Linked DNA regions of Xenopus tropicalis. The protein of the gene in region 1 binds, or shares a complex with, the protein of each later gene. Links are inferred from orthologs where the notes say so. Each region holds a gene or a part of one and is shown in the gene's direction. Other genes may lie near its edges.

Evidence for each region. Proteins that work in one complex are often made in the same cells at the same time.
Region 2: the proteins of ran (region 1) and sirt2 are in contact, whole or in part, in a crystal structure (PDB 5FYQ), measured with the Homo sapiens proteins. The link is inferred for Xenopus tropicalis from reciprocal best matches to the Homo sapiens genes RAN and SIRT2. Residues at the interface, in NP_006316.1 of Homo sapiens: Phe35, Glu36, Lys37, Lys38, Tyr39, Val40; in NP_036369.2 of Homo sapiens: Phe96, Arg97, Glu116, Phe119, Gln167, Ile169, His187, Ile232, Val233, Phe234, Phe235, Gly236, Glu237, Ser238, Leu239, Phe244, Gln265, Val266, Gln267, Pro268.

The regions. Positions count from the first base shown.
Region 1 is NC_030677.2:157,742,455-157,749,053, reverse strand, and holds the start of ran (GTP-binding nuclear protein Ran), read left to right. Parts: upstream 1-2,852; 5' UTR 2,853-3,008; exon of another isoform or gene 3,009-3,165; intron 3,166-3,553; exon of another isoform or gene 3,554-3,684; intron 3,685-5,784; 5' UTR 5,785-5,799; coding exon 5,800-5,835; intron 5,836-5,914; coding exon 5,915-5,999; intron 6,000-6,599. UniProt on the Homo sapiens protein: GTPase involved in nucleocytoplasmic transport, participating both to the import and the export from the nucleus of proteins and RNAs. Switches between a cytoplasmic GDP- and a nuclear GTP-bound state by nucleotide exchange and GTP hydrolysis.
Region 2 is NC_030678.2:55,098,918-55,104,480, forward strand, and holds the end of sirt2 (NAD-dependent protein deacetylase sirtuin-2), read left to right. Parts: intron 1-246; coding exon 247-323; intron 324-756; coding exon 757-808; intron 809-936; coding exon 937-1,004; intron 1,005-1,815; coding exon 1,816-1,882; intron 1,883-3,168; coding exon 3,169-3,315; 3' UTR 3,316-4,039; downstream 4,040-5,563. UniProt on the Homo sapiens protein: NAD-dependent protein deacetylase, which deacetylates internal lysines on histone and alpha-tubulin as well as many other proteins such as key transcription factors.

The DNA.
Region 1 (6,599 bases):
TCACGATACCAAAGCTTGAATGAATTCCGAAATGGTCATAGCCGTTGCAAAAAATACAACTTTCTTGCGGAAGTTAACGAAAACCACGAAAAAGTTGTGGAATTTTAATGAAATCATTGTGGACATTACGAAAAGTTCTATAAATTAGAAAAAATATGATTTTTTCTCAAAAAAAAGAAATTTTGGTTTAATGAATAGGCCCCATACTATTGTGAAGACTCTGCAGACCTCCTGCACACAAAAATGTGACCCTTATTTACTCATATACACACAAACAGTACCCATTTTACTAAGGAAGCTTTTTTCGTTTCTGGCTTTTTTTTCTTTTGCACATATTTACACACATATACACATAACCACACATGTGTACACAAGCTCACTTTTCTTAACGTTTAATAAGGTCTTGATTTTAACATTTAGGAGCACATTCATTAAAGTACAAATCCGAATCACGAAATCCGTTAATTTCTGATGTTTGCAAAAGTCATGAAAATTCTGTTCATTTGAATAGGAAGATATCGTACTTACGATCCGAAGGTTCTGAAATTTTTGTATTGAAACGATTGTTTGCGAATGGCGATCCGATAGTCATGAAATTTTTACGATCGTAAACAGCGGGAAAACTTTTCTGACTTTGAACCTTCAGTGCATGATTTTGGAAGCCTCCCATAGGACTCAATGGCACTCTGCAGCTCCAACCTGGCCCAAGGAAAGTCACGATACTGAAGCTTGAATGAATCCAAAACTTTCGTACTCGTTGCGACAAATGCGATTTTGTTGCGTAAATTGACACAAAGTACAAAAAAGTCACGCAAATTAATGAAAATATCATACAAAATACGCAAAAGTTGTAATCTTTTGAAAAAGTATGATTTTTTTGTAATCGGACCTGTCGTACTTTAATGAATGTGCCCCTTTGTCTTTTGTTTCTCCCCTAAAAACTATTTATCTGACAGTGTGACATAAATGTGGCAATTTGTAAGATATTTTAGGTGATTTAAAAAAAAAAAATATATATATGGTTTTGAGCAGTCTTTGTACTGTTAGGGAGTCAGGGTTCTTTGTTTGCAGAAGCTGAATTGGCAGCCAACAAATTTCATTTGCAGAAATTTAGGGTCCCCCCATGACACATATTTGGTAAATCTATGCACATTGGGCATCAAACTGTTCAGCAGACCCTTGGGGGCCCATTCATCAAAGCACAAATTTCTGATGTGCATAAATTGCGCAAAAATTTTTTGTCTTGGTTGTACGAAAATATTGTGGTTGCGATCTGAAAGTTACTAAATTTTCGTATCCGAATGATCGTAAACGTCGCAAGAACCTTTCTGACTTTGAAACTTCGATGCATGATTTTGGAAGCCTTCCAAAGGACTCAATGGCACTCTGCAGCTCCAACCTGGCCAAAAGATAGTCAGGATACCAAAGTTGAATGAATTCCAAAAAGTTCATAGTCATTGCGAAAAATACGACTTCTGCGTAAAAATTTACGCAAAACGAGAAAAGGTAGCAGAATTTTAACGATATTATTGTGATCAGTATGAAAAGTTATAAACATTAGAAAAAATATACATAATTTTTGCAATTGTGGTCATCATGCTTTGATAAATGTGCCTCTTGGTGTTGATATTTGCAGTAACTAAAATAAGAGCAATGATAAATCACATGGGGTATTTAATTTTGGGGCCCCTATATGCCACATACTTTGGTAAACTTACTCACATTGGACATCAAACTGTTTAGCAGAGCCCTGGGGGCACATTTACTAATCCACGAACGTCCGAAAAGTGTCCGAAGGCGTTTTTTTCGTAATGATCGGTATTTTGCGACTTTTTCGCGAATTGTCATAAGATGCTACAAAGTGGAAGCTTTAAAGTGATTTTCCAAAATGTAATAAAAACCACCAAATTCAGGAAGGGTTTGTGGTTTGGAGTAGAAAGACATATTCATTTGGATTTGGGAGAATGTGTTAATATTAAGTAGAGCCCTGATGTTCATATTTGGGGTGTTTTATATTGATACCTCATGTAGGAAATAAGATGCTCAAATGGGAAAGGTTTAGTGCAAATTTTTCAAAATTCCAGAAATTGTTATAAAAATCCCTAACTTAAGGAAAGGATTGCAGTTGGCTAGTTTAGAGTATTGAGAGATATTCATGGCTTTTGGATTTGCCATAATGTATTCTTTAAAAATATGTATGGTTTGTTTGGGTACTTTGTTACTGTGTTGCTGATATTTTGGCCCATACAAGTCAAACAATTCTATGAAACTATACAAATCTTGTGTTGACAGTCAGTAGATACAGGGCATTCCAAATCAGTTGTATCTTCAGGCATAAAATGAATTTTTTCTGATATACAGTATGTCTGTATTATGTAAAATGTAATTATTAGCTTATATCGTGTTGCTAAATTGAATTAAAAAAAAGCATATATTGTTTTTGAGGGTTTAAAGTGTTCACCTTCAACAGCAAAACGTTATTAACGCATAAAGCATGGTCTCGGAGTATCTAGTAGAATTAAGTCTAAAACAACTGGACTTTTTCTGAGTTTTCTTGAAATGTTTCACCACTAATCCGAGTGGCTTCTTCAGTTCAAATGACTGGTAGGGAATTCCCCGGTATTTAAACTCTTGATGGTAGTAGAGTCACAGAGTCGGAGCTTATGCCATTTTTCCCTTTGTGTTCCTCAGTGCAACCCACTTCTATCAGTTGACATACGTAAAAACGTAAAACAATGTGCCATTTGTACATGACACGCTGCAGATAGCCCTTTGTTAGTGCTGCGCCAGAAGAGGCGCGCTACACGGAGCCCTTACGTAAGTCCTTTCATTCAAACCTTCCCGCCTATAGGCCTTTCCCCGCACTCCCGCCCGCCGCATTGCTGCTGCTTGCACTGCCCGCACTGACGTCATCGCCTCCCACGTCACCGCCCCTCCCAGAGCGCGCCCTGCTATTTGAATCCCGCTTCCGCCATTTTCTCTCGCTGCTTTACAGACGCTTCTGGAAGGTGAGATTCTAACCCGTGGGAGATATAGGCTGGGCCCTGCCGCATAATCCGCCCGACATCTCGGCCATCCCTATTCGCAAAGCGTCCCGAAGCTCTTGTAGCACTCGCTGGTTAATCGTGCGGCCGGGCACGGTAGATTTGAGAGGGATTCTAGTCGGTAAGGGAAAAGCGGGGCTGAGAGCCTGATGAGAGGCGGGGGGAGTTATATGTTGGCGCGCTTTTTTTCCTCCATGGCGCTACATTCTTTATGGGACTTCACTGCTAGTTCCTTATGTAATTTGCTGGGATGTTCTGTTAGCAGAGGCTACACGTATTCTGCTAATTATCAGTGGGCGAGTTCTCTCGTTTGTGTGGCCTCTTCTTTTTATTTCGCCGGTGACTAGACAGTATCAGGCGCGATAAACATGACTTGTACTAGGCCGAGTCCCATGAAGTGCCATGTAGGCCGGGTTTATACATACTCAATATTGTGGCTGTTAAGTAAAGGCAGACTAGTTAAAACCTATGTAGTTTGCGGGGAAACCGGGAAGCAGGCCGTCGCAGGAAGCGCGTCCCCGCCATTAGCGCTCATTCACCCCGGAACCTCATGTGTCACTGAGGCGCGACGCTAGCATCCCCGGCCTTGTTCTATTAACCGCACCGCCCTGCTCTCCTAGGCCTGCTAGCTTGCGGGAAGGTACCACTTAGCTGGGGTGGAGGGGTGGCCGATAGATTATGTATTGGCCGGAGCTTGCTAGTTGAGACAAACATTTATGGGTCAGCCGATAGTTAGCACGGAGAATGGATTTTTTTTAATCCACTAATCCTGGTCCCAGTGACTAATTGTCATGTGGGACCCAACTTTGTCAGGCGTGAAATTGGCATTGTTCTGTCACGTAACCAAAATGGCATTGGCAGCGATGGGCAGTTGTTTCCACAAGCTTTAGTGGGTGGGTTGGCCTGCGTGCTATTCCGCCTGCTGGTACCTGCGCTGAGCCAATGCGCTGCAGCTATTCCTCACACGTGGGCCTCTAACTTCTGGCACACAAAGTTTTACTTAAACGGAAACTCCAACCCAAAGCTCTATTTTTACAAAGAAAACAACATTTAATTAGAAGCTACTTTTCTTATATACTTACACACTTTTTTGTGATATTGGCAGATGCAAGCTGATTAAGGCTAATTGCACATCCTGTGGGGTTTTTTGTACTGTTGCTATGCAGTGATGTTGGCAGTAACTTCCTGTTGCTCTGTTTATAGGCAGATGTTGGCACAAGTGTACATATAAATGGCTGGTATTGATAACACTACACATGGGCCAGTATCTTTTTCCCTCTGTTGAAGAAACTCTGCTTTTGTCCTTAGCCTAACAGGCCTGACAGAAACTGACATTTTTGTTTGAGCCAGAGGTAGAGAGCAGAAAGGGATGAAAACTGGATCTAAGCTTTGTGTATTTGAAAAGTCTTTGGTTTTAGATACCTTTTAAGCAAATACAGGCATCCAGGTTGTTGGGCATACCAAACCAATGCTTTAATACACAAGATAAGTGTCTTAAAGGACAGTGAAAAGAGAAAGGATTGGGGGTGCCAATTTGTTGGCAATTGCAGTCACGGGGGGTTAACTCTAAATCCCAGGTCAGTTCTTTCTGACCGCTTAGTAGTACCAGAACCATGCCACTGTGTTCTATAATGTTTCAGCAGTCTTTTTGGGTCCAACCGCAGTTGATGTGTGCAATCCTGATGACCACAAGGCACCTGGGACATTTCAGAAGATGGCATCACAGCTCTGGCAGAACTGTGTGTGTTTTTAGCTGGTAGCTCCGCCCCACATTTTTATAAGCCATCAAGCTTTGCTCCAGCCTCTATGCTTTGTCGCTCTTAAGCCCAAATTGTGATGGTGGTTTCCAGCTCTGGCTGCTTGTTTGGCGCCATGTAATGCACTATGTTGTGAGCTTTTGGTTTACAGCAGCTTCAGAAAGTGGTTCATTTTGTGTTATTACCCATACATGTATTTCCCTGCTCTGCTGGCGAGAAATGTTGTTTGAGAACACGTGACTGTCTTTGATTTCCCATGGGTCAGTTGGGTAGTTGTTCAGGTTCATGGGAAAACGTTAAAGGTCTATTAGAATGACTTTACTGCACCCATATATGTAATTGAATGTCCAATGGCCTTAACGCTTTGTATGGTGTAAAGATATGTACTGTGTAAGGCAGTTGATCAGTTTATAAAGTATATTTTTTTTAATTTGTGTGCACTCAACTGGAACATTAGGAATCACTGGGGGCATGTCTTGCCAACTGGCACCCAATGACTTTAATCACTAACCTATCTCATTAGTGCTCATTTACAAAAAATAAAAATGCATGATGTAATTCTGACCCCCACTCCATCTTTTTTTCTGCTTTTTGTGGTGTCACAGGGAATGTTTAGGAAGGTAAAGTAAGGCATGCTGGTGCATTATTTTTTTTTTTTAGAGGAAGGCCACTAGCCCATGATAGATTAGAACCATTGGTGAGTTCTAGCAAATGTACACCCTCCCATGATTTTTACCTTTTTAACCACTGAGTCATTCAAGAATTCCTAGTAAACAGTGTAAGATGAAACCTACAGTATCAACTATTTTCTCTTTACACAATGCTCCTTTAACATTCATGAATAAGAGGTGTAAAAGTGAGGGAGGATCAAGTGATGTGGGCTGACTATGCTAAAGCTGAATGTTCTGGGGAATGAGTAGTCTTATTATACATCTTGCAGCTGACAGTAAGAATTCTGTTACTTTTTTTTCCTCTTTTTATAGGCTGACAAACATACCATGGCAGCCCAAGGAGAACCTCAAGTGCAGTTTAAGGTAAAAAAACAAAAAAAAAAAACCTTAAAGTTATTAGGAATTTGTGCTGCATGTTTTCTAATATTATTATTCTTTGTAGCTTGTTCTGGTTGGGGATGGTGGTACCGGTAAAACAACCTTTGTGAAACGTCACTTGACTGGTGAATTTGAGAAGAAATATGTAGGTATGTAACTTGGTCATTGTGTGGTGTATAAAGCAGATGGTAATGATTAAAGGTGAGCTTTTGCACAGCTTGCTGGTTTAACATATGTAGTGATAAGTGTAAATGGAACATAAACAGCAGATTCAAAATATGAAAATAATTTTAAAGTGGATCTCTAATCAAAATCTTTTTTTAATCCATATTAAAAAAAAAAATAAAAATTCCAGTACTTAATTTTAAAGGAATTCTGGGGGGCTAGCCATGTCTATATTTTCGAGGACGAGAAAAAGAATCATGGAAAGGCAGCTCCCTGACGTCTGTATTGCAAAGGGTTTAGACGCATGGGGCGATTAGTCCCCACGCCGAAAACACAATTGGTTGCGGCGGGTTTTTAAATGTTGTGGTGACTAATTGCTGATGTGTCTTCACCCTAAAAGTGGTAGATATTAGAATGGCAGTAAGAAATCCAAGTCCATCTTCGGACTCCTACAGTTACATGAGAGTAGGAAAAACAATAGGTTACCTGAAAGCAGTTCTAATGTGTAGGGTTGGCTCCTTCTGAAAGCTCAGACTCTGGCATAATGCACTGAAATGGCGCCTACACACCTATATTGCAACTAA
Region 2 (5,563 bases), on another chromosome or scaffold:
GCTATGCAGAATTTTCTTATTCTTGCAGTGCTAGGGTCCTAGGTTTCAATTTTAGCCAGGGCACTTTCTGCAAGGAGTCTATATCTTGTACCCATGTTTGTTTGTGTTTGCACACTCCAAGTCTATTGACTTCAAATTAAGTTAACCCAAGTGTGTGAATGTGTTAGGAAGCACTACAAAATGTGTCGGTGCTATATAAAGATTAATAATAACTTAATTTAATAAGGTTTCTTACTCTTAAATAAGGACTTTCCCAAGGTTGATCTGCTCATAGTGATGGGAACCTCTCTGCAAGTTCAGCCATTTGCATCTCTTGTCAGCAAGTAAGTCACTCCTGCTGTAACTGTATATATATATATATAATATATACATCTATCTATACTCAGTATAAAGACACATACATACAATTACAATATAAAAATAGATATATTAACGTTACTTTTAGCTGTCTACAAATGGATTTTTGTCTGTGAGGCAAAGTACTCTTTGTAAGCAGCTCAGCTATGGTTTAACACAGTATTTGCAGCCAGCTACAAGTATCCATTTATACCTTAGTTGAATCTAGCCTTGTTTCTAATTTAAGGGCTAGTACTGATGAGTGTTAATTCCTGCACTTCCCTGCGGTGGCATTCTCATGGGTTTCACTGCAGGGGAGTGCAGGAAGAAACGCAACGATTCTTCCTAATGGGGCTGTAAGTGCATGTAAGTGCCAAATGTAGGTGATGAATTAACCTTTCACCTATTGTTTTATTACAGAGTGTCTAGTAAGACCCCTAGACTTCTAATAAACAAGGAGCTGGCAGGACAGGTAAGTTATGAACTTGATTTAAACTTTTAGGGAAGCAATTAATGTTATGACAATGCTTTTAATTTGTTCTTAAGTCACCTGCATACCTTCTATTTATTTTTGTGTTTTTCTAATTATTGTTATTCTAGGGTGACCCATTTTTCAGTGTTTTTGGCTTTGGAGGAGGCATGGACTTTGATTCTGAGAAAGCATACAGGTAATCTTGAACGCCAGTTAAATGGAAAATATTGTTGTTTGCACTAAATAATATAATTATGCTGAGGAAGACTTTAAGGGGCAGATTTACTAAAATGTAAATTTATCTTGTTCTATTTTTTTTTTTTTTTTTTTAAACCACAAATAAACTCATTTTCACAAATGTCGGACATCTATCAAAGTCTGAGGTGAAAAAGCCGCGAAAAGTTTAACTTTTATGACTTGTTACACAATAAAATCGACATTTTCGAGTTGTCACACAAAAACCAGCTGCAAAGGTCGAAGCAATGGAGTTCAAAGCTCATTCTCTTTCTGGCAAAAATCCTGTGGCAGAAATGCAAAAATGGTTTGATTAATTGTTCAAATAATTCCAGAAGGACAGGAAAAATATCATAAATGTAAATAAGATTGAATTGCTGTAAAAAAAAAAATCAGGAAAATGTGAGGAATCCAATTTGGTCTTTTATAATTCTACCTTCCAATGTTTTTTCCATCCACTAACCACTCCAACAATATAAAGCCCTGTGAGGCTGGATTCAGTGGCTGTGTGGTAACAATTACTAAGGGCATATATCCCACAGATTGTTGTGTAAGGAAGCAAATCATCAATTCAAATCATTATGCCACTGTGTTGCCTACCCCTAGTCCTGGCCCTGGTGGCACCCTGCTGCCGATCTGCTGGTTCCATTTCATTCAGAACATATTTTCCTTCAAGTAAAATTGTTAATCTCCCTTGAATAATATGATACTAACTTTAAATATTTCGATTGTTTGCTAAGGTTAAGAAACACTAATACTATGTTTGATTTTAGGGACGTTGCATGGCTTGGAGACTGTGATGATGGCTGCCTTGCACTAGCTGATTTCTTGGGGTGGAAGGTATAGTATATGCTAAAGATAATGCAATAAACCTGGTAGTTTTAATAGTATGTTTTGTCTCAAGTCTTGAGACTGTGGTGTCATATCGTCTGTTTATTTTTAGTGATAGGAAAAGGAATTAGTTAAAAGTATTTTTAATCCAGTACAAGCATTATCCCAGGTATTGGCAAACTGAGCTTGTATATAGTTTAAAGGATAAGTAAGCCTTTTATTTCTTTTACTTTAAAATCCCCTAAAAGACTCTAAACAGAATAACATACCCCCTAGAATAACATACCTTTCTTCCTGAATTCAGTCTCATGTGGTTTCTAAGTCACAAGCAGTGAGTGTGAAGCTTTGCCCCCATTTCTTTTCTGAAAGCTCCTTTTCTCTTTGACTGTAAAGATGGTCAAGATGCGCCTACTGCACATGCTTGTGACTTCTGCTCCAACTGAAACACATACATGTGCAGAAGGCACCTCTCTGACCAACTTAACAGTCAAAGAGAGAAGGTGGTGGAGCTTCACGCTATACTAGGAAGTAGCTGAAAGAGCTGCAATTGAGCTACTCGTGATTTAGAAACCACATGAGAATGAATGCACGGAGAAGGTATGTTATCAGAAGTGCTGCTGCAATGAGATGAGTTAAGAAACGTACCTCGGGCAGCAGTTCCCCACAAGTTACCAGGGGTGGCAAAAATCTACTTCTGCAAACTTTAAGAGCTGAAATTGTTTAATACGGGCCAACACAGTGGCTCTGGATGCAGGCACAACAATAAGCTTTTAGGAGCGTAGGGCAGACTCTTGGCCTGGGTTTATGCACAGGCTGAAAATCCGCCAGGTCTGGCAGGAGCCTAAGATGTATTGCATGGGTCATAAATAGTAGATACCGTGTAATAATAAGGAAGATAAAACTATATGGAGGTTCTTAAAAAGTGGTTAATGCATCAACATTATTAACAAGAAAAAAAATACATTCTTCTGCTGGTGAAAAGTGGCAGCTACATATAATTTATCAAGTTCTGCATGGGGCCTTTTATCTCTTTTTATCCTTGTCAAACTGTTTTGCCCCTTATATAGTTATTATTATATAGTTATATAAGTTATTATTGTTATAGAGTGTTCAGCTATCTTATGACAGTAGGATGCTTTCGGCACCCAATTAAGATTTGGATATTTTGTATTTTAAATGATTTATTTGGTTTTCGAGTGCAACAAAAAGTACCGGTATATAAAAAAAAAAAGAGCCATGCTGGTAAAATTTTGATTTTCCTACAGAGAATTTCTTTAATATATTTTTATATGCAGGCTGAATTGGAAGAATTAGTAAAGAAGGAACATGCAGCAATAGATGCAGCAGCAGAAGCAGCAAAGAAAAAAGAAAGCAAGCCAGGGGGCTCATCCAGTGAAGAAAGTTCTGCAGCAAATGCTTCAGATGAGAAAGCAAATAACTGATTGTTTTCTAGCTTTTAGTTTGTGAGTTCTCATACATTTATTGACCTTTTTAAAGGGACACTTAACACAGTAACTGCATTTGCCTAATTGTGCTTTATACAGAAGTATACCTTTGGTATCTTTTTGTACCATTTGGGATTGGTCCTTCCCCCAGGCTCTTGTTTGGTGTCTCTCATTTGTCGCCTCTTCTGAATGGTCATGTCTCCAGTGCCATGAGACTGTACCACCTGAATGTCCCATTAAGCCCCAACATCTTGGTCAGTTAGCCATTCATTTGTATTCTGCACAGATATCTAGACATGCCAGGACAGGAAAGGCTAGGGAAGATTTAAGAACAAAGGCAGAGCTAAGCTTTAGTGGCCCATTGATAGCAGAGAACTAAATAACTTTTGATGACCATATTAAATGGTTGATAGGGTGGACTGGTAGAGATGTATTTACTGATTGGCCCAGGGTTGACTATATTTAATATTTTCCTATTATTTCTGGATGACCAGAGAGCTGCAGGTTTTCCAATGGATAGTATATATGATATACCAATGGCTGGAGACTATAACTGTTAATAAAAGTGTATGTTCCTTTTCTCAGCACTAATGCTTTCTTCATCCACTGTTGGAAGCCTGAATAAAAGAGTGTACCAAATACTTTGGATAAGTAAACCTTAAAAACAAATAATGATGTATACAAAAAACTAACAGCCCAGTCCTTAGGAACTTTTTTTTTTTTTAAAAAGTTTGGCTTTCTTGGCATACCTAAATAGAAAAATGCCTTATATTAGAATTTACCTAATACTAATGAAGACTAGTAGACTGATGATTAACCATTTTGTAGATTTTCTTTGCTCATAATCTCTGCCAATTTTTCCATTTCCATATTTGTTCTTTGTTTACTTCCTTACCTTTACAGTTAAGCTGGCCATACATCCACCGATGATATCATACAAAACCTCATTTTGTACAATATTCGGTGCGTGTATGGCAGATCGACGAGACGACTGCGGATATCGGTTGTCTCGCCAATTGACCAGGACAAATGATTTTGACGGCGTCCAAACAAAATCTGCGTTCAGGGCTGAATCGGCAGGTAGAGGTAGAATTCCTATTGTTTCTACCTCCACATCTGATGATTCAGCCCTGAACGTCTGCGGGGGAAACGAACAATCCTTCCTGTGACGAAAGATCGGAATTGCTACGTGCATGGCCACCTTTAGACTGGAATCATACATTATTCTTGTTATTAATATAATAATAATATAATGAATTTTGGTACAACAGCACCAACTGTTGGTCAATTGCTACAGTCAAAGAGATACACCTTCAGAAGGAAAACAGAGAAATGATCTTATGTTGCTCTGCTTATGGTAAAGATCAGAAGCCTCCGATGCCTTTTTCTATCTCCTTCCTGGGCAGAGCAGTATCAGAACACTTTATTTACCCTGAGCAATTTTACACAATTTTTTTTAAGGTTTACTTATCCTTAAGTCCAATTATTAAAAGCTGAGAGTGTAATATAGAAAACCTTGTCCTTATCCCATATGTTTACATATGGGGGAAATATGCTAGGAATGTTTACCTTAATGTTATTTTTAAGTATAATGAAGACAGTGTTCAAGTGGCCTTCATTTTGTATTTTTGGTGGTAGTGGTTTGAATGAGTTACTAAAATAGGCAAAAAAAAAAAGTAGTTAGAAGTAATTAGTAAAAGTAATTAGGGTGAAGACACACAGAGCAATTAGTAGCAGCTTCTTGTCGTGGCTACTAAAAAAGACAATGCTGATCATTTACTGTTAACTGTCTCTACGTGTGTGGTAGAGTATTTTCTGGTGTTTAGTAGCTGTGAAAAAGTAGCTGCTTCAAGTAGCTCAGTGTGTCTTCACCCTTAGGGCAGTGGCACACGGAGATAGTCGCCCTGCGACAAATCTTCTTTACCACGGGCGGCTAATCTCCCCGCAATTCCATCCCACTGGCAAGAATGTAAATCGCCGGTGGGATGGCATACCCGTCGCTACGATTTCCCAAAGTCATCCAAAGTTTCCTTGAAAGGCAACTTTGGGAAATCATAGCAACGCGTATGCCATCCCACCGGCAATTTATATTGTGGGGAGATTAGTTTCCAGTGGTAATGAAGATTTGTCACGGGCAACTAATCTCCCCATGTGCCACTGCCCTTAGAAGTAACAATAAATCTTCTTTGGGGGTTGGTGGGGTTGTTTTACCTAGTAACTGCATAGTACTTTAAATTCATGTTGA